Rattus norvegicus: one gene and its partners. The protein of the gene in region 7 interacts with the protein of the main gene of each other region in a biochemical or structural test. Links are inferred from orthologs where the notes say so. Each region holds a gene or a part of one and is shown on either strand. Other genes may lie near its edges.

Region 1 (4,093 bases), on a different chromosome or scaffold from region 7:
AAAGAAAGCTTTACTTTGCATTAGATAACAGTGATGAGTTCTAGAGTCCCACCCTTACCTAGTTTGGCTATTTCTGGAAACTGGGAAAGCTTAGTTTGTAGCAGAGCACCATTCTGAGGTCAGGTAAAATTGCCCAACTCAAACATACCTCAGCTTGCTCTTAATAATGGTTTTCAAAACTTAATCCTTATCAGACTTAGTTTGCTTCCTTTTAGTATAATACTTTAAATTGTTATTTAATTTGGCTAAATATGATACTCTGAGCCATTCTTGTTCTGTGCTGTCTTATGTCACAAGTAAATTCAAGGTCCTTGAGGACAGATACCATGTTTTATTTATCTTTGCATTTCTAGTATTTAATATAGCAAGTGTTAAATAAAGTTACTGTTGAATTGAGTACTTGTTCCCACATGTTCTATATGATGACCCTAGCTTCATTTTAAAAGGGCATTAATAAAACCTGGGCACAATTTTAAAGATGTACTATCTCAATTCCATGGTTAAAAACAATGCAGCAACTGTGCATCAATTAAGCCCAATACATACATTGTAGTATTCTCAGAACTGTGAATTTCGTGATTGGATAGATCTCCAGTGCTCTTTTCTTCCATATGTGTTTCTTCACTTGGGTTTCAGGGTAGAGTGTAATACGCCACTTGATTTTCTCTATGTTTTTATTTTTCAGGGACTTGCCTTGGCACATTTTATATGGATTGCTCCTTTACAAGTGGTTCTTCTGATGGGGCTTCTCTGGGACTTGTTACAGTTCTCAGCCTTCTGTGGCCTTGGTTTACTGATAGTCTTGGTTATTTTTCAAGCTATCTTAGGGAAGATGATGGTGAAGTACAGGTAGTGATCTTTGTCAAAGTCTGAAGGAATTTGAATTGAGCTTCTCTATGCCCTGACAATAAAGCCCTGCCATATCACTTAGAAGGAATTATTTAATTGTATAAATAATTATTTCTATAGCAAAAGGGTAATTATTTTCTCTATTGGTCTACAGAATTTCTTTGTGCAGATTTTAAGATTCAGTACATTTTTATAGTCATTAAACTTAGGTAAAATGGATATTGCACCTATATGAACTGGAAGGAATGCCTAAATTCTGTATGGAGTGACCTGGCCTCTTCCACTCCATATTGTAGACCATTCTACCAAAGCTTTTATTACTTGTATTGGTCATATGAGTTATGCGATGTGCTTATTACGGAGAATTTGTAGTTTGCATGTTTCAATGTGATAGAAAGTTAAAAATCTGGGACACAGACAGAATTTTGTTTAAGTTTGTATATACTTTCATTTGCCTCATGAAATGGAAGTGATCACCTCTTAGAGACTTTGTGTAGGATTGGATTAGAGACATTGTCCAATGTTCATCTATTGTGGGTATCTGACATTCTGGAGACATGTGCTAAATGGTACAATTCAATTCATTTTTTTTCTTCCTGTTTTTCTGAGACAGGGCTTCTCTCTGTGGCCTTGGCTGTCCAGGAACTCACTCTATCGGCCAAGCTAATCTAGAATTCAAGAGATCTGCCTGACTTTGCCTCTTGAGTGCTAGAATTAAAAGTGTATTCTACCTGGCTAGACTTTTCTGTGTTACCAACTGTTTAATAACAATGTTTGTGTAATAAAAATATGGAATTTCTTAAAAAATTTGAATAGTTACTAGTAGGTAATTTAACTTGTTTCAGTTATTGATTGGTCAATCAATTGATTGGTTTACAGAGATAAAAGAGCTGCAAAGATCAATGAAAGACTTGTGATCACATCAGAAGTTATTGACAATATCTATTCTGTTAAGGCATATTGTTGGGAATCAGCGATGGAGAAGATAATTGAAAGCTTGAGAGAGTAAGTTGACATAATTACAATATTGGTCCAATTTTATATTTAACATTTAAAACTGACCACTCAGGTGGATGTTCAACTTGTCCAAACTCTCTAAAACTCAAGCATATGTCCTGAGTTTTACAGTGGTTTATCCATCATTTGCATAAAATTATTTTGATTATTTCTTTTATGTTTTGAGACTGGTCTCACTATGTACCCTTTGCTACCATAGACTTCAGTATGTAGATCTAGAACTTAAAGGCGTGTCCCACCACACTGTTCCTTGGCTTATGGTTTTACAGTTGATTTGGTTTTTCTTTTGTAGTATATGGATAGTTATCTCTTACTAATGATTCTTCTATACTAGTTCATAGTTTTCATACTCTTAATTTAAATAATGATGAAGATGGTGAGTCTAATTAAAACCATAAGTGGAAATACTAAAATATATAGTTCTGAGAGAAAGGGGTGATCCTGTATGACACTGTACTTCAGGTGTTATGACTTACAAAGAATGGGTGACAGCCACATTTGAGCAACTTCTACCTGTGATTTTGAGCCTGAGGAATAATGACAAAAAAAATTTTCCTTAGTGTTAACTCATAAGGGGCTAAGTCAGTCCCTGTAACAAAAGCCACCTCCTGAGATGCAATCTTAACTTAGCACCTGTGTATGTCCCCTCTTCTTTCACCTCAGATAACCTTTTGCAGATGAGTAAAGATTACCTCTAGATGTCCCCTACCAAAAAAAAAAACCCATAAAAGTACAGCCCAGACTGATACATAATTACTGAGATAATTTTGGGTAAAAGAAAAATGAATATTGTTGTAGCCATGTAACATTTTTCTTTAGTTGACTTCCCTGTCCTTCCAATAACAGTCAAGGAAATGTTTTAGACTTCTGGGGGTGGATGCACCATAAAGGATACTACTAATTTAAAGATATAGGGTATTTGAGTATTTGACAGGGACAAGGAAATGCAGAGTGCTCTTTGCAATGGGTTATTTCATGTTCAGATGGCTGTGGACCTGAGGACAGTGGCAACTGAGCCACAGGTGTGTGATTGGAACAACAGTGGAAATGCTGAAATGTTAAGTCCTTTGCCGTGTAAATAAAAAGTGCAAAAGAGTATTTATTTTTCAAATATTATTGGTCACCTGTTTTTGTTATGCTTTTCAAGGTAAATCCAGGAAAGGAACTACATTTTCTTTCCAGAAACATCCTTAAAGGTCTTGGGGAATTGTTGAGTTGATGAAAGTTGTTTTTCACATTAACAAGTTGAGTGTGTCCTCACACTCTGCCAGGAAACAGTCACTGTAGGGCTTAGGAGGTTATCAGAGTATCCGGTTTCTCAGGCTTCACAATCAACTTGCAGAAGCTTGTTCCTGTGCCTGACAGTTTTTTGTTTCTTTTCTTTGCTGTTTTGTTTTTTGGTTTTGTTTGTTTGACATTGGTGTTTTGCCCTACTTTTCCTTACGTGATGGAATCTATCTTTCCTATTCTGTATTTCGGGTTGGTTAATTCTGATAGCTAGAATTTGTCTGGTTGTAACCTGTTTGATACAGCATGAAATTGTTACCTGAAAAGGCTGGAGAGTTCTGACGTAAAAAGGAAAGCAAGAATTGCTTTACTCAGCAGAGCAAATACAATGTTCTAGGAGAGACTGACGAGATGCTCTTATAAGGATGATTACCTCAGCCTAGGCTACTGTTGAACTGGGCCAAAGGCTATGCAAATGTTCTTGAAAATTTTGCCTTTTATTGCTTTTTAGCAATAAAGGCACTTTCAATTTTTTATAAGAAACTAATAGAATATTTTCATGACATAAAATGTTAGGGATTTTATATCAGTTTCTAGATGATTCTGGTAAGTTTGGATTGATTATTCTTTTTCCTTACTTCTCATTTTTCTCAGCTGTTCTAATATATTTGAACAATTTTGACACTTTACTACTATTTGTAAACAATTCTCTCCTTAGCCTCATGAATATATGTTTTATCTCTAGAAGAAAAGGGATACACATTGCCCTTTTACATCTTCTGCTATGCTGTCATCTATGCTTAACTACATCTCTACAAGGGAAGTATTAAGTTTTCTTTAGTCATGGGATCACATTTAATTAGGGGGAAAAATGGCTTCCTTTATACATAGGTAAGACAGGCAGGACCTGAATAATAGTCCACTTCCAGGACAAATTTATTGAAAGACAAAACACTACAATTCGTTAGGCTGATCACAATATAGGTTATACACATGACCT
Region 2 (4,644 bases), on a different chromosome or scaffold from region 7:
GCACAACTCATTTGTGGAGTTCTTGCTACCTGCGACTCTAACTATCTTTAGGGGCTGGCTTCTTTGTCACTGCTCTGTTCTCAATTGGCACTGTCTAGAGGGTACCTGATGATTCATATCACAGTGACAGTCCTCTGTGTCTGTTCATCTTCCCTAGCCCACCTGGAAGCTGCAGGCTGTCAAGGACAGTGTCCACAGGCATTGCTTCTGTGATGTCCAGCACAGTGACTGATACATACAGCAATGTCAACACATCGCCGTGGATGAATGATAGATGAATATGTTAATATATACAGAAAGGCGTATGCAATTGGTTGAAATAACATCCTCAGTTGCTGGATCCATAGCTGATGAGAAATTGAGCAGAGAAGTTGTTTTGGGGGGGGTCACAGACCACAGTGGGTTCCAACATGCTCATTTCATCTCCTCATTTCACTATGAGCCCCTTGAGTACAGGAAGACTGTTTATTTTTCAAATTCTAAGGAATAAGCAGACAGCCAATGAGCAGGAAGTGTAGGGCAAAGTCCTGTTTTCTGCCAATGTCCTATTTACAGAATAAGAAGGCTAGGGCATAAAGAGCAAGCAGCAAGAATATAATCTACTTGTTTTGCCAGCCACCAAGGATACCTGGGTAAATATTAGCTAACGTGAAGCCCTTTGCTTGTTATTAAGATTTACTGATTTCAATAGAAAGGAACCTAAACGCTAGGGCACATTATATAACCTAAGACACCAACGATAATCTCTAATTGCCCAACCGCTCATAAATGCACATCGGCTCTGTCTGTGGTTACATTAAATGGCATAGTCCAAGCAAAGTGAGATCTGCATAATAGCAGAGCTTCCGTGTGACTGATGGGTTTGGTTAGTGGATGGATTTACCTCTTTCCTTGGGCTAGCTTAGTTCTCCTCACTCTTTCAGCAAAGAACTCAACCTCGTAGGATAATCCCGTATGTGTAAAGCTCAGCCCCAGTAAAGTCCAGTTTTTCCAGATTAAACTTCACAACAATATCTCACATTTCTTATATAACAGTGGCTGTTGTCGAGCGAGATTAATGTGGTATCTTGTTTCTTCCTGGTCTGATCTTATTCTTGTCTTGCAAACATGTCCCCATCTGTGACCCTCCATCCATCTGTATCTTTGTGATCACCTGGAAAGGTTAGTATTCAGTGTGTTTCAGAAAAATGGCTGGGAGATGAACGATAAGTAAGTGTTTCTAAGCCAAATGTTATTTGGCGTGACTTAGGAGAACAGTAAGAGGGTTATAGAGCGTGGCAAAGGAGAGGGGGGCCTCGCTGGCACCCAATCCACGTCTGCTGCCCAGGACCTCAGCTGGTTGTTTGTTATGTCTTAGCATGACGGTATTCAAGCCATGTGAGGTGTAAAGTAATATATATATGTATACCTGACTTCAGGCTCGGTCTGAGAACATCCACTTGTGTTGGCTCCAATCACACAACTCCACTCGAGTTAGCCATTGAAAGCCAATGCAAGTAAATGTCATTCCAAAGCTTAAGATTCATTAAGGTGGGCCTAAAAGAAGACAGCTGCTGTGCAGACAACGTCGAACAAGCACCACTTGCTTGCTTTGCCCAGCATGGGCGCTTCGGAACGGAGTGTGTTCAGAGTGCTGGTAAGTGTGGATTATCTGAGGAACGCACTATGCGGCCACTGCCTGCTCCTGTTTTACCACTTGCGAGGCCAGGAAGTGAATGTTTTATTTTGCTGACACAGTCGAGGGAAAACCCAAACTTACTGGGGACATGTCTTCACTTTACAGAAGTGCCCTTCACTTTCAAACTGAAGCAAACTTTAGAAGGGCGGAGAAGGGAGGAGGGCAAGGAAAGCTCGGAAGTTGATGCTTTACAAGTCATCTTGAATTGTAATGTGTGGTGGAGATTGTATGGATTCTGTGGATAATGCTGGCCTTAGAATTGCTAATAGGTAAGAAAATCTGTGAGGAAACATGAGCTTCCACATGCCTGGACGGGAGGATCTGTCACCATCGAGTATGGGTCAGGTGCATGTGCAGTGCACAGGAGTAGCTGGAGAAGAAGCCTTTGGCCTCTCTGCCTCACTTGGGACTATCTCCTAGTCTGACTCTTGGAGACTTGCAGTCAGACAGGGATGGATAGAGCCCTGAGTGTGTGCAGGGCTTGTTTGACTCTCTTGGTAACTCTTTCTTCTCCTTATTTTTAGTGCCTGGCCTTTACACTTCAAAACACCACTACGGGCTGTGGTTTTCCTCTCACAGCCTCCACTTGGTGTGACCACTGCCTATGTTTACCTGGGTGAAGGCCAGGAACAAGACACTGAGGGATATCACTTTTGTTTAAAATGTGTCACTAAGCTGGTTTCGCTTCCTAGTTCTTATGAGCAAACACATTTCTGAAGGGGGATTTTGAGATCTATTTTTAAAAATATCTTTGCATTTAATGAAAAAATACCACAAAGGCAGTGCTAACCACAATGGACACACCTTGACTTTTTTGGCAGGGGCGGGGGTGGGTGAAGCAGGGGAAGGTGTATTCTAGGCTTAAGACCCTTGAATTTCACTGTTGTTAGCTGTTTAGGGGAAAGCCCCAATCACTGTTTTGCTGGAAATCTCTCTCTCTCTCTCTCTCTCTTTCTCTCTCTCTCTCTCACACACACACACACCTGTTCTTGATAAGAAACGAGCAGACATTCTTCTGAAGAGGGCTTCATTCTGTTACTATGTGTTAGCTCATGGGTACTGGTGGAGAGAGTGGTAATGGTCTGAACTAGGAAGTGGGGCCTAGGAATGGGGATTAAACATGGTCCTGCCTCCATAGAGCATCAGGGAAGTCATCGTGCATCAGCTTGGAGCCAGGTTGATAGTATGGAATATCAATGACCACCCTCATTCTATGTCAGCTGGGAATCTTGGCAGAACATGGCGGATGAGTAGAAGCAGGTATGTAGATCCTCAGACAGAGCTTCTGAGATCACCCAGTGGGCTGTGAATCCTGTCTTCAAGTGTTCTAGGAAGCACACTTTTAGGGTAGGGTGTTTGACAAATGAGCCCAAGCATGACTAGAGCTGTCCAGAATGAAGGCAGTGAGCTGCTGTCTACTTCCAGCCGTAGGTTGGGTCTCTGTCTTTGGAGAAGTCACCGAAACTTGTTGAGTCTTAGTGCTTTCATTTACAGAAGACGACCTGAACTGGATCAGAATATCCCCAGATATATTGATAGCAGCAAACAAGACAATTTAGGGGATATATTGATACAGTGATATATTGATGAGTTTTCTCTTTCAGTTACTTATTTTTATATATCACAAAATTATGAACAGTCCTCCAGGTTTATGATATTACAAAAATTATTGCATAGCAGCAGGTTAGATTTTAAAACAGAAGTGATTTGCATAATAACATCCAATAAATAAAAGCACAAGGTTCTAATGGGTCCCATTTTTAAGGTCCTGTGGGACAGACTGGTGTCAGGAAATACTTGAGCATAATGTCTGTTAGTAACTTTCCACTTGGTGTCTTTCCCACTTTCTGTGTGACATAGAGGCTACGTATAGTTTATTTTGGCATCCAGAACAGACGAGTTGGTTTATGCGAATGATTAACAAGCCTAATGATTTAGAATTTTTCTCCTCAGAGGTGTATGGGTCTGTATGTGCGTCACCTCCTTTACCACAGCGACAACTATAACCTTACCAACCCTCTAATATGTTTTCAGATCAGGGCACTGACAGAAAGGATGTTCAAACACCTCCGAAGATGGTTTGTCACTCACATATTTGGGCGTTCCCGGCAACGGGCAAGGCTGGTCTCTAAAGAAGGAAGATGTAACATCGAGTTTGGCAATGTGGATGCACAGTCAAGGTTTATATTCTTTGTGGACATCTGGACAACTGTGCTGGACCTGAAATGGAGGTACAAAATGACCGTGTTCATCACAGCCTTCTTGGGGAGTTGGTTCCTCTTTGGTCTCCTGTGGTATGTCGTAGCGTATGTTCATAAGGACCTCCCAGAGTTCTACCCGCCTGACAACCGCACTCCTTGTGTGGAGAACATTAATGGCATGACTTCAGCCTTTCTGTTTTCTCTAGAGACTCAAGTGACCATAGGTTACGGATTCAGGTTTGTGACAGAACAGTGCGCCACTGCCATTTTCCTGCTTATCTTCCAATCTATTCTTGGAGTGATCATCAATTCCTTCATGTGTGGTGCCATTTTAGCCAAGATCTCTAGACCTAAAAAACGTGCTAAAACCATTACGTTCAGCAAGAATGCGGTGATCAGCAAGCGTGGCGGGAAGCTCTGCCTCCTCATCCGAGTGGCCAATCTTAGGAAGAGCCTTCTGATTGGCAGCCACATATATGGCAAGCTTCTAAAGACAACCATCACTCCTGAAGGCGAGACCATCATTTTGGATCAGACCAACATCAACTTTGTCGTCGACGCTGGCAATGAAAATTTGTTCTTCATATCCCCACTGACGATCTACCACATTATTGACCACAACAGCCCTTTCTTCCACATGGCAGCAGAAACTCTTTCCCAACAGGACTTTGAGCTGGTGGTCTTTTTAGATGGCACAGTGGAATCCACCAGTGCAACCTGCCAGGTCCGCACGTCATACGTCCCAGAGGAGGTACTTTGGGGCTA
Region 3 (4,093 bases), on a different chromosome or scaffold from region 7:
GTGTGGATCAATGAATGAGCATCTGCCTAACACATAGATGCTCTGTTTAATCACAGCACTGGAAAAAAACAAAAAGGATGCTATCCCCAAAGGATTAAGCTCAGCAACAGATCACTTGCATAGCATACAGGATGCCTTAGTCTGATTCCTCAGTATTGCAAAAGAAGAGTGTTTGGGGACCTAGCTGAGGCTGAATGGTAGTATATCTGCCATGGACTTACCCTGCTCTCCCCTAATCCCATTGAAGACTCAGGAAGTGACCATAACGAGTCTCCTTTTAGACTGGGCCTGGAGGCACATGCTTGTAATCTTAGCACTTGGGGCATAGAGGGAGGAAGAGCAGAAGTTTGAGGCTAACCTAGGCTACATGAGACTTTCTCTAGTTTCAAAAACAAGTGAAGGAACAATACAGAGAATGAAAAAAAGAAAGCTGTTGGCAAATATGTATCAGATAAAGGTTCAGTGTCAGAAACATATAAATAACCCTTGCAACTCTGTAATAAAAGACAGGACCTCCTAGCCCAGGGTGGCCTCAAACATGCTATACAGTCACACTTATGATACTCCTGCCTCCACCTCCTAGATGCTGGGATTACAGGCATGAACCACTACACCTGATTACTATTGTGCTGGCAATGGAACCCCGGGCTTTGAGCATGCTGGGCAATCACTCTACCAACTAAGCACATCTCAGCCCTTCTCCTCTATCACTGAATGTTCTACTGAGCTGGAGGACCTAAAATTTTAAAATTTTATCTCCAGCAAGGAGAACTAGGGATCTAGTTCAGTCATATAGTTCTTGATTGGTTTGGGTCAGGCCCTGGACTTGATCTCCAGCACCAAACAGAAAGCAAATGAAGTAAATGATGAAGGATTTGAAGACTTATTTTTCCAAAGGCATGCACAGGAGTAGCAAGCACAAGAAAAGAGAAGATACTTAGTAAACATCATTGGTTATTAAAGAGATACAAACCAAAGCCAGGATGTGATTCTGCTGCTTCTCACCCATCAGGATAGCAAAGATAAAAAGAGAGAGAGAGTAAGCAGGACGCCTTGGAAGATCTGAAGCCACATGTGCTGGTGGGAGGGTTGGAAGTGACACAGTTGTGCACCTCTACAAATGACTAAACCCTTCCACCACAGGACCAGCACTTAGACTCCTGGGGATAGATTCAGACCATTGAAACATCTTTTTCACAGAAAGAGTTGCATACAATGGGCACAAATGTTCACAGATCGTTCGTTCATCATCCCTCTGAGTAGAAATGACTCAAAGGTTCAACCAAGTGTGGTATAAACCATGCCACAGAATGCTGTCCTTGCTACTATATGAGTAAGCCATGGTGCTAAGAGGTAAAGAATCAGATGCAGAGTGCAACAGACAATTCCATCTGCACGAAATATCCAGAATAGGAAAAATCTGTAGATTTATGGTTAAGGTGATGAGTGGAGGAAGGAGTAGGAAGGGCCTACATCAAATAAAAAAGGCTTTGGTTTGTGCATTTGTGAAGAGAAGGTAGTGGTAAATATGTTAGAATTGGTGATCTTAGATGCACAACCTCTATGAATAACCCCCGGAGTTACACATATCAAAAAGGTTGGCTGGCGTATAATGTGTCGGTAGAATGCAAACCTAGTAGGTGTGAAGCCTTGCTCTAGCGCGTGCGTGCGCACACACACACACACACACACACACAAATCACGAGAGTGAATTTTATGATATGCAAATTATATCTTCAAAATAGAAGAAAAAGTAACAGAGGAGAAAAAGGAAGACAAAGTTACCTTGCAGCACAGCCACCAGCCCAGTGCTGATGCCAGAGACGATGTCACTGAGAAGCCATTCCTTTATCTTGTATGCTGGCAACCAAGATGCTATGGGGAACAAAGACAGGGCAATTTTCTTGGCCTTTTGTGAGGAGCAGCTGAAAACATTGAAAGCCACAAGGTCAGTGAATTAATATCGATTTTAAGTCCGGCTCCTGAGAGCAAGTAGAAAGTTGACAACGATGACATCATCTTAAAGACAAAAGTGGTGACTTCACTCCCACTCACAATCGCCTCTCTGCCCCTGCCAAAAGCTTTCTGGTCACTACCAAAGAAACTTTTCTCCTTTTAAAGGAAAATGCCAGCTTTTCTTCAGCTATAAAGAACTTGTGTGCCAGTCTGAGTTGAATTGTGCAGCATTTCGACTGGGAATTTGCCTGTCTCCATCTGTTAGTCTCTGACTTGGAAGCTGTGTTTCTGCCGCTTGCTGAGAGGGTGTGTTCCCTTGCCTTTCCACCTCAGACAGCGGGGTAAGAGGTTTGGAAAGCAAGGATGGCAGATTCCTGAAGCTATGGACTTGAGCCAGAGAGGAAAACTTGAAAGCTAGAAAATTTAGAAGAAACTGCGTCGTTCCTTCCTCGTTCCAGTACTTCAGGAGTCTCTTACCTACAACACCCTTTGAGATGATCCAGGAATGTCTTGTGATGTCCGTATGTCTTCTTAAACTCCTCTCCGAAAGCCTTTGTGGAATACACCGGTCTGGCCACCACATACTGATTCCCTATGGCTTCGATCATTTTGCCTTCCCTGGTGACAGTGGCAAATGGGAAGACCTTTGAAACTATGTGGTGAGCGCTTCTTTCTGGCTGTTAGCAGGTTAAAATGCCTGAAACCAAACAGAGCTTGCTTCTTAAATAACTCAGATAATGTGATGCAATTTACAGATGAGTGAGCTCCGAACTGAATGTTACCACCTTTCGAGATCAAAAGAGGGCAGGATTAAGGGACCTGGGTCACTTTTTTTTTTTTTTCCACAGCAATACCACTTTTCCCTTCAACAAGCAGACACAACTCCTTTGGGTTAACTAAACAACGATTTCTTGTTTTTGTTTTTATTTTTATTTTGGATACAGGGTCTCACTAAGTAGCCCTGGCTGGCTTGGAACTTGGTATGTAGACCAGGCTCACCTGGAACTCACAGAGATCCACCCATTTCTGACTTCCAAATGCTGAGTTAAAGTGTAGAGCTGAAAAGCAATAAATCAACTTGGTTTACTTACTAAACAGTTCTTGAGGGTTTATCACCAACTGTTTTTTTCTACAGATATTTCCAAAGATTTGCTACTGGAACAGTGGGGCAGATCGAAGCCTAATCATTTCCCTTTGACTCTAATCAAGTTTCTTCTAATCTATTCATCAGAGCTTTGTTTTTTAAAATAAGACCTCAAAATGGTTTTAATTTGTGAAAACCAAATATATTGTCCATTTATACTCCTGTGGTTCCTGGGAGTCAAAGGAAACTATATAGAGACAAAATATAACCTTGTTTACTTCGTGAATGACAAGTTTCTTTCCAAGGAAAGACTGTGGGTGGCTGACTTAGCCTGTTTGAGACTCTGTTATACATTGGGAGATGATATCCATGGCTGTGGACTGTGAGGACTGAGGATGTTCAAAAGTTTCAAAACTTCCACTAATGTATATGACGTGCTCCAGATGTTAACCAAATGGTGGTTATTATGTAACAGTTTACATTTTCTGAGGCTGGATTATAGCTCAGTACACTTGCATCTATGAGGCCATAGGATCAATCCTATGAACTATAGAATAAATAACTGTGTAGAACAATCAATCAAAGGTGAAATAATGGGGTTGGGGATTTGGCTCAGTGGTAGAGCGCTTGCCTAGCAAGTGCAAGGCCCTGGGTTCGGTCCCCAGCTCCGAAAAAAAAAGAAAAAAAAAGGTGAAATAATATAAAATAATATTTTCTATATAAGGTAACATTTCTCAACTTGTGGGTCATGACCCCTTTGGCAAACCTCTATCTCCAAAAACCATTTATATACAATTTATAACTAGAAATATCCAGAATAGAAAAATCTATAGACTTAAGGTGATGAGTGGTTGGGGGGTCAACACATGAGGAACTGTACTAAAGGGTTGCAGCACTAGGAAGGTTGAAAACCAGTGATATAAGGTATCTAGATTTTTCTAGTTCATGTCTCTATTTTGTTTCTTTTATAGAAGAGGATCAATTTATAAAGCCCTTTATATGCATTATTAGTTTAGTACTCACAGTTAAGGCATTAACTATTAGTATCCTCAT
Region 4 (4,093 bases), on a different chromosome or scaffold from region 7:
TGCCTCAGCCTCCCAGATGCTGGGATTAATGCTGCACCATCACATCCAATCTTATTTCTGTCTCTACTTACTTAGTTTTAAAAGTGCCAGCCTTAACTGGGTGCTTAAATCTATGGCCAGCTCGAGAGCCTTAAAATCCCGAGTCGGAGTTTCTGAGCATGAGCCTATGCCCTGGGAGACAGGGCCACACCCTGTGGCAGGGCTCAGAGTGCACAGGCTCAGAGTGGTCTGTTCAAATCGTCCAGTCTTGCAGTTGTACCATGTGACCTTGGACAAGTCACCAAGGTTCAGTTTCCCTGCTCATAAGCAGGGACTGCCTGAAAGGAGCACATGCCTTTTAAACACCAAGCACAGCCCCTCCTACAAGGCTTGCACAGTTTGTTAGCTGTGGCTCGCCTGTCCACGGGCCCCATCTGTGCCTCAGAGAGGTAACTGCAGCGTAATTTCTGTGACTCCTGCTTAGTTCTTACTTTATCCAAGTCTAACTCATTATGCACCACGGCCCAGGACAGTACTTTGTCATTCCTGCCTTTTCCCTTTTCATTGCTACTGGTGTCAGCTTGTGAGAATCATAAAGCCAGAAAAGACCCCTCCTTGGCTGGTACAGCTGGCTTCCCCCGCCTTTGCTTTGTCTGTTATAGAACCGACAGGCACCTCTGAAGGCACTCAGCCCATCGCTATCTCGACGCCAGGCATCACCACACCGGTCTCCACACCACTACAGCCTACGGGGTCTCCAGGGGGAACTGAGTCGGTGCCTACGACCGAAGAATTCACACACTCCACTTCTAGTTGGACTCCAGTGGTCTCTCAAGGCCCGAGCACACCCTCTTCCACCTGGACGTCTGGGAGTTACAAGGTAATTCTAGCAGAGCATGGGGTGAGAAAGCCCAGACTCAAGGGAAGTCTTTTCCTTTGGCCTTCTCAGAGCCCCTGGTTGGGCGGGCGCTTTAAGGAAAAGTTGTCTGTCTCCCATTTCCTCCGTTCTTACCCAGTTTTCCGAAGAGGCTGGGTAACCAGGTACTCCTGGTTTTGGAACTGACTAGCCAGGCCGGAGCATGCTATCTGCACTTCCCCTGTGCCACCCACGCTCACCAAGAGGAGAATCCAAGATCAGGTGACTCTGTGCCTAAACCTTCATCTTTTGACCTCTTCCAGCTAAAATGTGATCCTGCCATAAAGCCCCACGAGGAACTCCTCATTCTGAACCTCACAAGAGACAGCTTTTGTGTGAGTACACATGCCTGAGTTCACCATACATCCCACCCAGTACGTGAGCTCCTGAAAGGGAGAATAGTCTTTTCCCATCCAAGTTTAGACTTCTCTAAGTCAGGCAGTGCACACAGGCCTGCTTCAGGCCCAGAGAATGTGCAGAGCATGCGCAGAGCACGCGCCACCACTTTTACTGCTCTAGTTGCACGCGTTCTCTCTCTCTCTCTCTCTCTCTCTTTCTCTCTCCCCTCCCCTCCCCTCCCCTCTCCTCCCCTCCCCCTGCCTTTCCCCTCTCTCTCCCCCTCCCCCTCTCTCTCATCTCCCCTTCTCCACCCCCACCCCCACCCCTCTCTAGTTCCAGCTAGTTAGGACATTGAGGCAGGAGAACTGAAGTCAAAGTGGTGCCTTGGCCACCAAGTGTATTTGAGGCTAATCCTGGCAACTTAATGAGACTTTTCTTATTAAAAGTAACAGGAGGGGTTGGGGATTTAGCTCAGTGGTAGAGCGCTTGCCTAGGAAGCGCAAGGCCCTGGGTTCGGTCTCCAGCTCCGTCCCCAGCTCCGGAAAAAAAAAGAACCAAAAAAAAAAAAAAAAAGTAACAGGAGTGCTAGAGGAAGCACTCTCCAAGGCCTCAGAAGAGAGTTACATTCTGAGCAGTCGCCCTCTGTCCTGATAGTGCAGCCATAGTTCCTGGTCCCCTGCATAGATCCATATAAGAGGGTATAGAAATGTGTACAGCTCCCTTCACACTACCAGTGTTCTGGGACCAAGGGTTTGGTGGACCTGCACAGCACATGGCCATTGACCTCCTTGGTACTGGAGGCAGCTGATTCGTTGCTGCCCTCTACTGGCCATTGCCATTTTTGCAGCCACTTCTAGGATCAAGAATAGAAGAGGGCTTGCTTGGGTTCTCTCTAGGTTGGAGACCTTGGGCTCTGCTATTTTCTTCCAGGGGTTTTGTTTTGCTGTAACTTACTGAGTGAACTACAGAGGCATAAACTTGGCCATCAGAGGTTTAGAGGGAGAAACGTTGTTCTGGGATTGAGCTTTGGTGAGAAGGCAGGAATAGCATTGAAATTGCCCCCAAGATGAATGTCTAGGTTGAAGTCCACCGGATATGTATTGTTACTGGGACACATTCTTCCCTGTTCTAGAAAAAGATGATGGAAAGTGCTGGATCCACTCCTGGTGGTGGAGTAAAGCGCTTCTAGGCCAAAGGAACTGGCATATGGGAAGTGTAGGGGGGGTAGCATGTGGGAGACTTAAAGGTCAAGAGCTCATGCTTTCAATCTTAGCATTTAATTCAGAATCAGAGAAGGAAAACATCAGTGAGCGATGCCTGAACTGGCAGTGCCAAATAAAAGCCCATAGCTTACACCTCAGCATCAGCCCGAAAACCCTGTTTCTGTCTTCTTTGGGCTTAGGTCCATGTACGTAACACTGTGGATATCCCCAGAACCTGTGTGCTTCTCTTTCCCTCTCAGCCTGAGGTGGCGACAAGAGGCTAGAGACTGGCAGGTTTCAATCCCTGCATTGCCTCTCTCCCCTGGCGGTGGAGGAGTGCCACAGCTCCTATACCCTGTTTTATCCCACTCCTAGCTGAGGCATAATACAGTCACTGGTTCCAGAGCCTCCGGGACCTTGCAGGGAGGACAGAGGAAGCCTCGGGGGTGACATGCAGACAAGATGTCCAGGCTGAGGGGAATGGGAAAAGAATTTGGAATGAGATTGAGAGGATAAGGACTAACCTGAGAGAAAAATACAAAACTTAATTCCCGGCGATCACTGGTGCTACTTCCTAGAGTAGCAGCAGTGAAGCATGGAGAAGGGACTCTTGCAGGCTGAGTGGGCAGGGGGCAGCCTCAGAAGCCCAAGCAGTCATGGCACAGCCTGGGAATCACCTGTGTTCTCTGTACACTAGAAGGGGAGCCCTCCAAATGAAAGATTCTTGGAACTGCTGTGTCACTCAGCCAAAGCCTCCTTCAAGCCAGCTGAGGATTCGTGTGCTCTGGAGCTGGCCCCCATTCTAGACAACCAGGCGGTGGCAGTGAAGAGAATCGTTATTGAGAGTGAGTCGAGAGTGAGGGGACCTGGGCCTGTGCGGGCGGGGGTGCCCCAGAAGAATGGTTGGGGAGTGGAGGCATCTAAAAATATACAAGCCAGCAACCATCCCAGGAGACCAGAGGGACTGGGATACAGGACATCCTCTTCTTGGGGCACCCGCTCTGCCCCTGCCATTTCACTCTGGGCTGGACTCTGGAGGCATTGGTCTCTGTCTCTCCCACAGCGAAGCTTTCTCCTAAGGCTGTGTTTGAACTGCTGAAGGACAAATGGGACGACCTGACAGAGGTAAGAAGTTTTGCCCTGTACTGTCCTAAGCCCAGCGTCCTCTGGTGTAAGAGGCCCTTTGATGGTATAAGTATACAGGAGAGGCACATCCCAGTGGACAGGGTGGGCAGTAGGATGGGGCAGCAGACACAGAAGAAGGGCTCCCATTTGACTAGAGTGGGGACAGGAGGTCCGGACTCTGTTTCCTGCCACTTAAGTTCTGTGTCTCGGCAGGCTGGAGTCATCGACATTCATCTGGGGAAGGAAGGACCTCCAGAAGTCAACGAGGACCGCTTCAGCCTTCCTCTCATCATCACCATCGTCTGCATGGCATCCTTCCTGCTCCTCGTTGCTGCCCTCTACGGCTGCTGTCACCAGCGGATCTCCCAGAGGAAGGACCAAGTGGGTATTTTCTTACTCTAGGTAGCCCCGTTACCCAGTGCACCTTTCACTGGGTCCCTCCACATGAGTGGGCCTGGACCCTTTGAACAAGGTCCCCACTATCAAGCCAGCTTGTCTCTAACAGTGGAGACTTGATGTGGAAGCAAGAGCA
Region 5 (4,788 bases), on a different chromosome or scaffold from region 7:
GGCAGGGCTCGAAGGCGTTGGCTGCGTAGCCTGGCTCTAGCTGGAGGCGGAGCAGCTTCCCCAGGGTCCCCTCATAGCCAGAACAGGAACCCCACGGGTGCACGGACAGCGCCGCGGTTCGAGGCGCGGGAAATACTAGGCGGCCTCCCCAGTGACTCCTCTGGTGTAGCCGCCCGCTCATCAGCCGGGGCCGGAAGATCGGGGGTGGTGGGTGGTCTGTGCTTTTCCAAAGGAAAGAATAAAGCAAAAGCGGGACAGCGTCCCAGCCACGGTTCTCAAGTTCCGATGTCAGAGCTCACTAGACTGCGTCCCCGCAACACTCATCCTGCTGCCCAAAGACCCGGGGGAGGGTCTCTGGAGAGATGTCCCGGGGTGGGGGGCAGCGGGCTGGGCTCTGTCCTCCACACACCAGCCTGGGAGGCAGTGGCGGGGGCAGGGGCGGAGGAGGCCCGGGGAGGGCGCAGGGGGAGGGAGGGAAGAGGCTCCGGGCCGCGGGGGGAGGGGAGCGGCAGACGCCGAGGCGAGGGACGCGCGAGGCGGGCGGCGGCTCGGAACAGCGTCCGGGCGGGGGGCTCTGGAGGCCAGGCAGGCCAGGGGGATCCCGAGAGCTCCATGAAGTCTCCCCGGGACTGCGAACGGGGCGCTGGCTTGGGGAGGCTGTCGGGGGGGGCCCGACATTCATGGCAAGGCGGGGGCCGCGGCGGCGAGCTCGGAGTAAGTCGGGGCTTGGGGGGTTAGGGGGGTCGGGCGCGCGGGGCGCAGGAGGCCGGAATGGGGCAGGAGGGACTCGGGGCCCGGCCAGGGCGGGCCCGGCTGCTCCGTCTCCGTGTCAGTCTGCGGCGCCTCCTCGGAGCCCTGTGGAGTCGCCAGCCCCGCTGCCGCTCAGTTCGGTGGCTTTTTTGGAAACTTGCAAATGTTTTCGTAGAGGAGGGGAGGGGGGAGCGAGGGAGTGACCGAAACCGAGCTTGGGGCCGCTGGAATAGCAGAGGCCAAGGCCGGGGAGAGCGGGGAGGGTAGGGGGGTGGACGGTAGCTAAGGACCGACTGACAAGCAGACGTGCAGCCTCAGCGTCGGGGCAGCAGAAGCGCCTGTGCCTCTCGGGCGGGCGCACGCGGCGCGGGTTCGGAGGATGGGAAAGGGGGTGCAGAGGGTGGCGGCCACCAAGGGCATGGGGGTCCAGACTGAGCGGGAGAGCTGGGCCACGATGCCGCAGGAGAGCCCGGAGCTGGCGGCAGGAACGCCAAAGGGCTCAGTGTCGTTGCAAAAGTCAGGATGGCATCCCCTAGTTGCACGCCCCGCGCAACTCGAAACGCGCCCCCTGCCCCGCCCCGACTCCCCTGTTGCCCACTGCCGCGGAGCTAAAAATAACAGCCTGGTCGCCCCCCGCAGACCGCGACCCCGACCCCTCCCCCGCCCCTCCCCCACTGGGCGTGGAGCGAAGCCACGGCTCCCAGTTCCCCCAAAGAGGGGGGAAAAAGACAGAGAGAGAGAAAGAAAGAAAGAAAAGGCGGCGCGGGAGGGGAGCGGGGGGCGGGCCGGGGGCGGGGGGCCCAGCCATATGGATGTGATTTCTCCGCTCCGAGGCAGACAGGCCGCTCAGCAGCGCTCGGCGCCCGCCCGCCGCCCGCCCGGCCTCAGGCTGCCTCCCTCCCTCCGCCCTCCCTCTCTCCATTGCGCCGGTTCGTTCTCTCGCTCGCCCTCGGCGAATGGGCCCCGCGTCGGGCTCCGGGGCCTCGGGCCGCCCGGACGCCGGGGTCCCCTAGGCCAGGACGTGGGCGGGGCGGCCCGGCCTGACGCAGCTCTGCACCCTCCAACCATCACCAGGGCCGGCGGCGGCTGCCCCGAGGGACGCGGCCCTAGGCGGTGGCGATGGGGGCCGCCCGGATCGCACCCAGCCTGGCGCTCCTACTCTGCTGCCCAGTGCTCAGCTCCGCATATGCGCTGGTAAGTCTCTCTCGGTGCACACTCCGCAGGAATCCTGGGGTTGCTTTGGGGTTCCTGGGACAAGTGGAGGCTCACATTCTGGGGTTCTCCTAATAGTTTGAACTTTGGGATGGGACCTCTGCCTCCCCCCATGAACCAGGAACCCTGGTGTCTGCTGTCTTTGGGGTGTCTTACCGTAGGTTCCAGATGCCTGATGTTTCCCCACTTCTGAAGACTTGGCTTGGGGGTCCTAGGTCTGGAAACCTGTGGTTGGAGTTTCCCTACACCATGCTTCTGTGAGCATATGGCTCTGGTCGTATGTATCTTTTTCAGTGGTAACAGTGCGATTCAGCGGGCTCTCCGTGTGGAGTCTCACAGACTGCGCTGCGGGGGAAGGGAGGGCTCCGTTTTCGCAAGTTTTGTTTGCACCCGGTGCTTAAAGCTGTGTGCAAGAAGTCAGAAATCACTTAGACTTCTTAGGATTTGAGGGTGGGATTTAGAGCCCTCTCCAATTCCCAAGATCCTACAGATGCACAGATGTATGCACGAATGGGACAGCTTTACCCAAAGTGGAAGTCAGTTTGCCCAGGGAGGTGGGTGTGGTACGGAGGTCCCCTGAAAGAGACTGATCTCATAGTACACTTTGCAGAAGGTATTACTGTAGGACATGCTGGTCTTTTGGTGGGGCGGGGGGGTGCTGTGCGTGGTCTGAGAGTGGATACCAAGAAAGTAGAGAGGGCTAGACAGACAAAGAAAGGGGTTAGGATGAGAGTTCTGGACTGCAGCAAGGAGAGAGACTCAGAACAGCAGACAGACAGAGAGCTGGACCGTGACCTCATCTTGGGCTAGGGTCTGGGAGCTATTTCTCAGAGAGGGGAGACTTTCTGTCCTCTCATCCCCTTAGTGGTTCTATCCCAAGTGTCCAACCTACTCCTGAATCAGCTTTTATGCCTGACTTTAAGGTCCTGTTGTCCCTGTACCCCAACCCTGACCAAGGTCTAGAGAGACAGAGCCAGTAGCTTCCTTCAGAGGACACAGGAGCTCTGAGAACCCTCCAGCTCAGCCCATGGCTTGTGTGACCTTGGACTGACTGTCTTTCTCCACACCTCAGTTGCCCATCAGTGAACAGAGAGCATGAGAGAAACATTTACCTGACACCTTTGCTGTTTGATGTCCTCTTCCTGTGCCCATACCCCAATTCTAGTCCAGCAAAGGAAAGCCAGAGCCAGAGACTGCCTCAGAAGGGAACTTGTCCACAGGGAAGCAAGTTCGGAGGTCCTGAGCTCACTGTTCAGGAGATAATCCCAACAGGACATGGGGAAGAGAGCTGTTTGCTGAACTTCTCTCAGTGACTTCCCCGAGTGCACACATATATGTGCATTGCTAGACCGGCCGATGGGTGTGTGTGCCAGAATGTTCATCCGTGTAAGACTCTGTGGACATCTGAGTCGGTCGGTAGGATTGTGCGTACCCAAGTTCACGTGTGCTTGGAGCTGTGGATCCGCATATGACTCTGAGGGAAGCACAGCTGTACATGCGCGTGTGTGTGCACCCTGTGTGCACCCTGCGGGTGTGCACACGGGTCTATTGTTTGCTCATCTGTATTCAACAAATGCCTCTGTGTTTTCCGTTCGTCTGTCCGTTGTTCTAAGCACTTCACGCAGATCAGCTAGTTAAGTCTTACCCACAATCCTCCGAGAAAGGTATTTTTTTTTCCCTATTTTGTTTTTATCTCCTCCAAATCCACAATCACTATGGCCATTGTCTCTTATGTTAACCAAGTGCCAAGCCCTGCACCTTAAGTGTGGTAGAATGGAGCTCCTAGGGCCCTATAGTTCTCTGTAGGGAAGTTGACGTATATGCAGAGAACTTCCTGGTTTAGAAGGACCCTAAGCTGAAGGCAGAAAGACAGATGCTAGTGTGGCTCTCCAGGGACCATGCCCTTACACTGGACCTGCTCCTGCTTCAGGTCCAAGGACCAGGGATTCGGCCAACTCACTCACCCACCAACCTGTGGGATCCCTGGGCTCCGCCGGAGTCAGCCAACAGCTGGCAACCTGCTCCTTCTCTTTCCTAAGCCCAGAGGCTCCTTCCCTACCCAGATGTGTACAGGTATGGACGAGGATCATCCACCTCAGCTTCATCAAACTTACAGGCGGCAGGACTTTGGTTGGGGGACCAAAGAGCATCCTACAGTGGGAACACTGGCCACAGCTGGACTCACCTGGTCCATCTGCCCTCCTCATTTAGAAGCCTGGAGAGGAGCACAGGAGTGAAGTCTAAAGGAGGGGATAAGCCCTTGGCTTATGAGCAGGCAAAAGGCTGGTCTTCTCCTATGAGATTCCTTGCCCTAAGGATGCCTTAGAGAAGCTATAGCCACAGAAGCTGATGCACAACAGGGAGACGGGTCTGGGTGTGGGCTCTCCAGAGAAAGCGTAGTCTCCTAGGCTGGCTGCGCAGGCAACATTTCCTGCATGGTTCTTTTTTTTTTTTTTAACATTTGTTATTTGTGTGTGTGTGTGTGTGTGTGTGTGTGTGTGTGTGTGTGTGTGTGTGTGCGCGTGTGCGCGTGCCTACGTGTGTAAGCAGGAGTGAGTTCTTTCCTTCTACCATGCTGGTTTCAGGTACTGAGTTCAGATGGCGAGTAGTTTACCTGAGAAGCCATCTGGCCGGCCCCAAGAGGTTTGATTTTAAAAGTTAAAAAGAACGTGTATGAAGCAGTGACTTTCCATAGGGTCTTGAGCTAGAACCCGCCGTATGTGTTTTATCAGTCCGCCCATTCCCCTGGCCACTCTATGGGGAAATGACCTTGAGGCTCACGGTGTAAGACTGGCAGAGGTGAGATCTGGATCATTTGAACCCAGG
Region 6 (3,534 bases), on a different chromosome or scaffold from region 7:
CAGTGGGACAGACCTTGGAGGAGGGCTCTGCCGGACAGACTCACAACCTGGTTGCCCTTGAGATGCTAGCTCCCACTGGTTTAGGCAGGAACTGTTTCTTTCGCCCATTCCGGGAGAGCGTGTTGGGAACATGGGCATTTGTGACATGAATGTGCCCTCTTTGGTGGCACTCTATACTATTGCCCAGATTACCTTTCAGCAAACAGAGTCCGCAGCCCTGACAGAAAGCAACAACCTGTATCATGTCTCTAAGCATTCAGAGCCCAGCCCCACTTCCTCATATTTGCTTAAAGAATTACCTGTCACTTGATAAGCCCAATGTGAGGACAAGCCGTCCACAGGACCTCACGAGACAGTCAAACACAGGGAACATGATGTGATATACAATGTATGACCTTATTGCATTGTTTGGATGGATTGATGACTGGCAGCACAAAATACTGGGGGTAAAGGTAGAATATGTTCTCAGTGCTGGAGGAGATGCAAGCCAGGCCTTCACGTGCTAGCAAAAGTCCTCCACCAGAAGTTATGAGGCCAGCCTTGGCAAACTACCACCTGCCTCCCACCCACCTCCGAGGGCCCTGAAGTAAGGAAGCCACCCAATCCGTAATCCCCCTGCCTCTCCCAAGTGACAGAGATGGAAAGTGTGTGCTACTATCCCGAGCTTACCGAAATTATCTTCAAACTGATCCATTATTTCCCCCGTCCTAAATCCAGTTTACCGAAACATAACAAAGTTAAACAAGTGACACAATTTGTGCAAATAGTTTTCAAGATTTTATTGCAAACCAAAATTGGTTTCACCGCACACAAAAAAAGTTGTGTGGTGAGTAGGGGGGAGTGTACATGTTATAACCATGTTAATTACAGGACATTAAAATGATGGTTTACAAATAAGCCTGTAAGTTTAAATATCTAGTGTTATAACCCAATGTACAGACTTTCTTTACACACAATAATCAGGAATGCAAAAGAAAATGAACAAAGGTTGGGGGGAACCATAAATAATGCCCATTTTGCAGGTGACATTTTAAACAATGAAACACCAACGGCTCTGACTGACAACTGGGGCATTGGTCCATAAAAACCCTTTCTAAAAATAGAAATATTTGTAGCAGCAATGCTTCCCTCAAGCATCTGGATGCTCGTCACTGCAAGACCGTTTCAATAGGTTTTAGTTATTATATCTTACAAAAAAAAAACAGTCTGCGCATAAATTTATCTTCCAAATGTGGAAGAAACAAACAATGTCCCACATTGTAGTGTCCTGCAAGTGTCACATTGATGCTTACAACAAAACTGTCTGTGATCAGGCATAGCACTCACACTAACTGCACACATGGGAAATACGCAAGGGTTGGGAAAAAAAACGAAACAAAAAACAAAACAAAAAAAAAAAAACAAACAAAAACTGGACACTCTGCGATAGGAAAAGCTTTGGAGCTAACACAATCTCAGAAAAGGCACATTGCAGAATATTCTTGATCACAGCTCAGACCTGCGGAGATCCCTCTTAGACCTGCATCTTCCTTCTCACTGAGACCAAGGTGCGTCTCAGGCGGCACTCTCAAGCTCCTTTAGAGCTAGCACCACGTTGGAAGGAAGAAAAGAAATGAAGACCTCACTAGCTCACTGAGAGGAGGATGTGCTCTTCGGAAAGCTTCCGGAAAGCTTCCGCGTCAAGCCGCGTGCAGCGCCCGGCAGGCGGGACTGCCAAGCTTCCTGGTGTGCAAATTTCTCTTCTAAGATGTTCTGTCAGCTGGTAACTCCACCAAAGGCTAACTAAAACACTTTAGAAAAACGCTGAGGAAATCCTTCGGAACCATCCTGGGAGCTTTCAGAGGAAGGAGTCCATAGGAGGGGCATAGGAGAAGCCAAGGAAGGCTTCCGCGGCTTCTTTCACACTGGCTGTGACAAGGATGCTGTCAGGGGATCGCCCGATGGAGCTGGGGACCGGCTCCTCAGTAAACTCGGGATCAAAGTGCCGAAGGTCACTGGGCCCGCTCTGTCAAAAGAAGGGGAAGTACACTCAGCATTAAAGAGGTCACAGGGCAAAGGGCAGGAGTCCTTAAGTCCTATACCCTCCACTATGAACTTAACTCTAAAGGTTCCAAAGTTTAGAAAGATATCGTTGATTACAAAGTTTCACTATGTATCCTAGGCTGGCCTCAAACTCCTTATCCTGTTTTAGTCCTGAGGTACAGATATTACAGATACATGTTACTAGGACTGGAAACGATAATAAATGCATTCATATTCACTGAACGAATTTGGGATAAAAACATACATAAAATAATTCTCCTCTGGGATGATGGGTCAATAGATAGATGGTAGCTGCTATTTGTTTCTCCAAATTCTGACAGAAAAGAAACCTTCTGGGTCTCACTATTCTTACACCAGAAACAGACACTTACCACATTTGGGTTAAATGGGGGCGTGATCTTCTTATTAATGAGATCATCCCAGTTAATCAAAGAGAAGAAAATATGACTCTTAATCTCCATCTGTTAAAAAGAAACAGATTCATTTAGATGCGGGAGAACTCTAATATAAGGTCATGAGGTCAAGGTTTCTTCCCCCAAGGTCCCGTGACAGCAGGACACTCACAAAGTCATCCTTGGCACCCAGCCTCTTGGTCCGGTCCTTCTGCAGGAGGCCCTCCAGCAGGTGCCTTGCTGAGTTGGTGATATTTGGTTTCAGCTGGAGAGGCTTGTTCAGAATATTGTCATACATCTCGGCTGTGTTCCGGCTGTAGAACGGAGGCTGGAAAAGGAAGGGAATTCCTTCAGATTCATGGGGGATCAAAAACTGCCTCAAATCCAGAGCTGAGCAGACACACAGCAGGGAAACTATGAAGGCATGAACTGTTCCCTTTGTCTCTTCTTCCCTTCTTCCTATCCTTCTCTTTTTCCCTCCTCAGTGCTTGCTAAGCTCGTATTAAGCTGGATTTGAGCTGGTCCCTTCCCTATTTTACTGTGTGTGTGTGTGTGTGTGTGTGTGTGTGTGTGTGTGTGTGTGTGTGTGTGTGTGTGTTGGGGCTAATAATACTGGAACAGGTTAAGTAAACTGTGCAGAAGAGTTGGGAATGTTGCTCAGTACAATTTCCAGGGCCTACCCTAAGATTCAAACAAGACTATTGAAAAAAAAAATCCAGAAGACTTTATAAAACTGTAAAATGTAAAATAATCAGTGTCTCCTTTATTAGCTTTTGATAAGGCTACTGATAAGGACAAGCCACAGTACCTAACCCTGCATGAGCAGATCCACAAAGGTTTTCTAAGTGTCACGGGCATGATTCTGTGTGTTACTCACCAGGCCATAGAGCATCTCATACAAGACAGCCCCGAGGCACCACCAGTCCACTGTCCGGTCGTACGGCTGCTTATGGAGAACCTCAGGAGCGAGATACTGAAATGACACGCATCAGAAGGAGAGGTTAGCTCTCAGAACCAAGCAGTCCTCACAGTGAGCATGTGCTTTGAAAAGACCAGAACCAGAGAACTTGCTCTGAGTGTGGGGAGTGTGGGGTGTGTG
Region 7 (4,571 bases):
CACACACTCCCGCCCACCCCCATCACTGAGCGGCTACAGCACTAATCCCTGATGTAGGATCTAATCCACCCAAGGGCTTCAGAGCACACGGATGGCTTAGACATGGATGCTTCAGACAGAGTCGTGGACAAAACCCAGGATGACAGATACCTAACACAGACATTCAGATCTTTAGAGCCACAGTAACTCCTCAGCCACTGGGACCTCCAGCAGAGGGAACAAAGGCCAAAAGAGTTGCTTCAGGTGGTCACCAATGGCACAGAGTGGCTACTGCAGTAGGGAAAGAGCCCTAAGAGGAAACGGAGGCTTATAGGAGTGACCAAAGGGAAGATTGTTATCAAGAGGCAGTCAGCGATGGTGGTTCTGGGAAAGACTCATTGTTCCCACAGACAAAAGCCCACCATACCTTCTGGCCTGTGTCCGAGCCAAGACTGCCTGAGCATGCCCAGTCCGGCTTTGGCTCCCAGGGGTTGTGGGCTGGCGGAAGCCCTCGATGGGCCATCTCCTCAGTGCAGGTCAGTTGCCGCCGGCAGAGTTCCTCATCTGTCTCCTTGTCCACCACAAGCAGCTGGGTCTGTCCCTCCACAGCCTTGATCCTCTGGACCACCTGGAATGGGTGTGAAGCAGGACCCGGTCAGCAGGCAACACCCTGGGCAACACATGGATAGGGCACCACTCCCGGCTAGGCCCAGGCTCATGGACAGAGGGCAGGGGTTGGCCTGCCAGGGGTGGGTAGCTGGACTGAGAGGCCTGCGGGCTCCACCCCCCACCCCCAGTTTCCAGCAGCTCCCTCCCTCGTCTCCCTGGAGCTAGGGCCCAGGCTGCAAGTACTTCAGGGTTCTCTTGTGGCCTTGTGTTCTCGGCAGGTGGGCTCCGGAGGAGCTGCTAGGAACAGCCAGATGGGAGAGTCAGAATCTGTTTAGTTGAGCTTCAGGATTTCAGTCTGGTCTGTGCATGGGTACGTGCTTAACTGTGTGTGTGCGTGAGTGTGTGTGTGTGTGTGTGTGTGTGTGTGTGTGTGTGTGTGCATGTGCATATGTGTATGCTTTGTGTGTATGTGTGCATATATGTGTGTGCTTTCTGTACGTGTGTGTGTGTGTCTATTTTAAAGTCTGGGGTTTTGGTCCAGGTGTAGGAGAGAGCAATGTCTTTGTTGACCCCAACTTCAATTTGCCTCCAACCAGGACCAGAAACCCATCCCTGCTGGACCTGCTTAGAGGTGAAGACCTAGGAATTCTAAGGTGCTCACACACGTCAGGTAAGCAGAACTCATCTCCAGCAGGTACCGAAGCAGAACAGATCTGCGTATCTGTCTGGATGGGTTGGATGGGTGCCTGTGAAGTGTGGGCCACCGTGGATCACGCAGGATGTTAGTATGTGTTCAAAGGGAAAAGTGCCCAGTGGACATCTGAAGGGCAGGAAGCATTAACAACCCCACCCCACAGCCTGGGAGTGAAGAGGCAGGATCTCCAGCGTGACTCCATGGAGTACATACCACCACAGATATGAAGGTCCTACCCAGCCAGGCCCATCTTTACCTGGCCCCTCAGTGATCGTCCAAGATGACCAAGAGAGCAGAAGGATCCCAGCACTAAGGAGCTAAGCCAGTCACCCACAATCTCTACATATCAGTAGAATGGGAGTCTTGGTTTTGCCTCCTATCTCCCTGAGCAGTAGAAGGATTCTACTGTGGCTCTATGTGAAAGTCTTTAGAGACTAGACTAGACAGCTGCATTCCAGCGACGGCTAGACGCAGGTAATACCAACTCTGCCAGCCTCTCCCTTGCTTTTAGGGCCAACCACTGGGCTTCACTCCCAAACTCTTCAGCACACAACCAAATCCAGTGGTCACAAGGCAGGTCGCCGGGAAGATAGAAGTTCAACTTTAGCCCAGCAAAGAGCCACTCTGCTTCCTCCAAGCCTCAGGACTGACCACTCACGTAGGTCTTGGACTTAGTGGTACTAGGGTTCCAGAATAAAAAAGGTGAAGGGAGACTGAACCCTAATCAAGGTTTTAACTGTGTCTACCCCTCGGTGGAATACGGACATCCCAGAGGTAGGATCTGCAGAGAGACTCCGCCACATCAGCCCTCCTCCTTCCAGCTGCCAGCAGGCAAGGGTTGCACAGTGACCTCTACAGGGCCAGGCAGCTCCCAGGAGGAGGCTTTTTCTGAGCCCAAGGAATAGGCTGCCACTAGAGCTGACTCCACCAGACCCAGACACACCAGCCATGAGAAGTACACTAGTATAACCAGGCAGGCAGGCACTCGTGAGCTCGCACAGGCGCGCGCACACACACACACACACACACACACACACACACGCACAGAGTCAGCACACATACCTGATGTGTCTACACAAACCTAAGCACACATTCCAGCACTGACACAAGTATGCTCTCAGCCACTCCTGGAACACTTGGGTAGTGTATTCATATGGATGACCCCAGGGAGACCCGCAAGCACACACACATAACTCACACACGAACAGAAATGCATCTATACCACAAGGCCACAAGGTGCCTTCACCACCTCCTCCCCCTCCATGGCACACGGAGGCCAAAACTAGCAGAAGCAGCCAGGGCCCTGGCCAGAGTAGCCGCAGTGCGGCCCCTCCCTACCAGGATGTCCTCCCTCCCCCGCTTGTGCAGGACTGAGCTTCCTCACCAGGAGGCCAGCTGGCGGGCCACGTCCCACACCTCAGTACCCGAACAGCAGGCCCCCATGGGACCCTTGACCGGTCCCACGATAGGGCACGCCGAAGGGTGGTCGAAGGCATCTTGGCCAGCGCAGTAGGGATGCGCCCCTAGGAGGGAACCGGGGGGCGGGGCGCAGCGCAGGGACCCACCTGGTGATGCGTCTCGCCCTCTACGTTGACGCCGTTGACCTCAACCAGGCGGTCCCCGGCGCGCAGCGCGGCCGCCTCGGCTGGGGAGCCTGGCTCCACGCGCCGGATGAACTGGCCACGGCGGCCTTTCTCGCCATGCAGGTGGAAGCCGTACCCTTGCTCGCCCCGCACCAGGCGACACAAGCGGGGCCGCAGCGACTCCGGCGCGGCCATGGCACCCGCTGCCCCCTGGCTGCCCGCGACTGGCCACGGCTCACACCACCCGCAGGCTGGAGCGCGGAGGCGGCAGAGGCGCGGGCGGGAGAGCAGGCAGCGGCCTCGGTGGCTCCTGCTCAGCTCGCGTCGCCTCGGGCTCCGACTTCGGCTCTGGCCCTGGCCCCTGCTCCTGCTGCAGCACCGCCCCCGCGCCCGCCCCTTCCCCGCCCTCCTGGCTGCCCCCGCCCTAGCCTAAGCCCCGCTAGCTAGGCCCCTGCCTGGGCGCCCAGAAACCCTAGGACTAAGGAGTGGGATTTCGCGGTCAGGCAACCCTCGAGTTCCTGGGAGTCCTATCTTATCCCATTTGGTCACCTTCCCTAGCGCCAGCACCTTTGGCTTCTGTTCCAGGAACCACTTTTTTTTTAGACACCTGCATATGCTACAGTGAGAGGGGTTCCTGAAATGGGAAGCCTCTTAGAGAAAGGGTCCAGTCAGAGACACACTACACAGACGCCAGAGGGGAAGTGCAAGGACCACTGCGCCCCTTCCTGGGATGCACCCCACCCTCTACCTATCGGGACTGTGCTGCCTGCTCCCTCTAGGTCCCCAAAGTTGTCTCATCCTGACCCAGAGAGCAACAGGCAAGAATAAGAAATTTAAAGAGACTACAGCAACCAAGGTCTTTGGGGCCAGCAAGTAGGTGGCCCCTGTTCCACCCAGCAAGTGTCTGTCTTCCGTATTCCCCTGTTTTTTGGGAACATGAGTTTATCTGGCAGAGATGGGAGGTATGTGCTGCCTTCCTCTAGACCCAGTATGAACTGTGCTAAGGACTTTGGCCCCTGAGCTCTAGGTGGTGATCTGTTGTCCCAAATTAAGCACCACAGGGTTCCCATTCCCGGTTCCTAGGTCTGTAGTCAACACATTCTTAGATTTACAATTGCTTAAGTTCTCATCTCCCCTTACAGGACAACAGTCCCACTGAGAACCCCTTATGCATTCGTACATGGTTTTCCAAGAACAACCCTAGAGAAAACCGACCATTTTACAGACCAGGACACTGAGGCCTGGAGAAAATCCTCTACTAGAGTCCAGTACTGTGAGACTGCACTTTCACCTTAAAGCTTCCTCCCAGGCTGAGATCTCACCCGCAGCCTGCTTCTCCCCAGTGCACAGCTCCTCACTTACCTGGTCCCCCTGAGTCAGGTAAAGCCAGCTCAGACAGTTCCCCATGTGGATAGGAGATGCGCCCCTAGCTCAATGTTCTCCTCTCCCTCCCCTCTCTCCAGAGCCCTTAACTGGGGCTTTCCACCTCCACCCAAGCACTAGGACCCGCCTCTCAGCAGCATCCTAGCCTTAGCCTCTTGGGTACCCACACCCTAGTGGCTGCTCCTGAAAGGCACTTAAGCTGTAGATACATTGTTGCTCCCTGCCCCCAGCCTTCTCTGCAGATTCTAACTGATGCTGCCACAGGCTCTGGCCTGGCTGGCCACTTCCATCTATCTGTCTGCTTGCCTATCCAGAATTTGCCT

The links.
Region 1: the proteins of Nherf2 (region 7) and Cftr form a complex in vitro, tested with the Homo sapiens proteins (4 studies listed by BioGRID and IntAct, with this or other methods). The link is inferred for Rattus norvegicus from reciprocal best matches to the Homo sapiens genes NHERF2 and CFTR.
Region 2: the proteins of Nherf2 (region 7) and Kcnj1 form a complex in vitro, tested with the Homo sapiens proteins (2 studies listed by BioGRID and IntAct, with this or other methods). The link is inferred for Rattus norvegicus from reciprocal best matches to the Homo sapiens genes NHERF2 and KCNJ1.
Region 3: the proteins of Nherf2 (region 7) and Slc26a3 form a complex in vitro, tested with the Homo sapiens proteins (2 studies listed by BioGRID and IntAct, with this or other methods). The link is inferred for Rattus norvegicus from reciprocal best matches to the Homo sapiens genes NHERF2 and SLC26A3.
Region 4: the proteins of Nherf2 (region 7) and Podxl form a complex in vitro, tested with the Homo sapiens proteins (3 studies listed by BioGRID and IntAct, with this or other methods). The link is inferred for Rattus norvegicus from reciprocal best matches to the Homo sapiens genes NHERF2 and PODXL.
Region 5: the proteins of Nherf2 (region 7) and Pth1r interact in a test that uses a peptide from one of them, tested with the Homo sapiens proteins (2 studies listed by BioGRID and IntAct, with this or other methods). The link is inferred for Rattus norvegicus from reciprocal best matches to the Homo sapiens genes NHERF2 and PTH1R.
Region 6: the proteins of Nherf2 (region 7) and Sgk1 form a complex in vitro, tested with the Homo sapiens proteins (2 studies listed by BioGRID, with this or other methods). The link is inferred for Rattus norvegicus from reciprocal best matches to the Homo sapiens genes NHERF2 and SGK1.

Annotation. Positions count from the first base shown.
Region 1 is NC_086022.1:47,586,331-47,590,423, forward strand, and holds part of Cftr (cystic fibrosis transmembrane conductance regulator), read left to right. Parts: intron 1-685; coding exon 686-849; intron 850-1,728; coding exon 1,729-1,854; intron 1,855-4,093. UniProt on the Homo sapiens protein: Epithelial ion channel that plays an important role in the regulation of epithelial ion and water transport and fluid homeostasis. Mediates the transport of chloride ions across the cell membrane.
Region 2 is NC_086026.1:39,060,190-39,064,833, forward strand, and holds the start of Kcnj1 (ATP-sensitive inward rectifier potassium channel 1), read left to right. Parts: upstream 1-1,451; 5' UTR 1,452-1,600; coding exon 1,601-1,636; intron 1,637-2,816; exon of another isoform or gene 2,817-2,938; intron 2,939-3,712; coding exon 3,713-4,644. UniProt on the Homo sapiens protein: Inward rectifier potassium channels are characterized by a greater tendency to allow potassium to flow into the cell rather than out of it.
Region 3 is NC_086024.1:53,761,113-53,765,205, reverse strand, and holds part of Slc26a3 (chloride anion exchanger), read right to left. Parts: intron 2,654-4,093; 5' UTR 2,565-2,653; coding exon 2,434-2,564; intron 1,926-2,433; coding exon 1,786-1,925; intron 1-1,785. UniProt on the Homo sapiens protein: Mediates chloride-bicarbonate exchange with a chloride bicarbonate stoichiometry of 2:1 in the intestinal epithelia. Plays a role in the chloride and bicarbonate homeostasis during sperm epididymal maturation and capacitation.
Region 4 is NC_086022.1:61,107,163-61,111,255, reverse strand, and holds part of Podxl (podocalyxin precursor), read left to right. Parts: intron 1-641; coding exon 642-859; intron 860-1,158; coding exon 1,159-1,230; intron 1,231-3,133; coding exon 3,134-3,281; intron 3,282-3,499; coding exon 3,500-3,561; intron 3,562-3,774; coding exon 3,775-3,942; intron 3,943-4,093. UniProt on the Homo sapiens protein: Involved in the regulation of both adhesion and cell morphology and cancer progression. Functions as an anti-adhesive molecule that maintains an open filtration pathway between neighboring foot processes in the podocyte by charge repulsion.
Region 5 is NC_086026.1:119,592,608-119,597,395, reverse strand, and holds the start of Pth1r (parathyroid hormone/parathyroid hormone-related peptide receptor precursor), read left to right. Parts: upstream 1-1,824; 5' UTR 1,825-1,869; coding exon 1,870-1,944; intron 1,945-2,123; exon of another isoform or gene 2,124-2,227; coding exon of another isoform or gene 2,228-2,239; intron 2,240-4,788.
Region 6 is NC_086019.1:24,798,637-24,802,170, forward strand, and holds the end of Sgk1 (serine/threonine-protein kinase Sgk1), read right to left. Parts: intron 3,409-3,534; coding exon 3,313-3,408; intron 2,764-3,312; coding exon 2,608-2,763; intron 2,505-2,607; coding exon 2,415-2,504; intron 2,006-2,414; coding exon 1,838-2,005; 3' UTR 755-1,837; downstream 1-754. UniProt on the Homo sapiens protein: Serine/threonine-protein kinase which is involved in the regulation of a wide variety of ion channels, membrane transporters, cellular enzymes, transcription factors, neuronal excitability, cell growth, proliferation, survival, migration and apoptosis.
Region 7 is NC_086028.1:14,174,385-14,178,955, forward strand, and holds the start of Nherf2 (Na(+)/H(+) exchange regulatory cofactor NHE-RF2), read right to left. Parts: upstream 3,136-4,571; 5' UTR 3,061-3,135; coding exon 2,848-3,060; intron 608-2,847; coding exon 407-607; intron 1-406.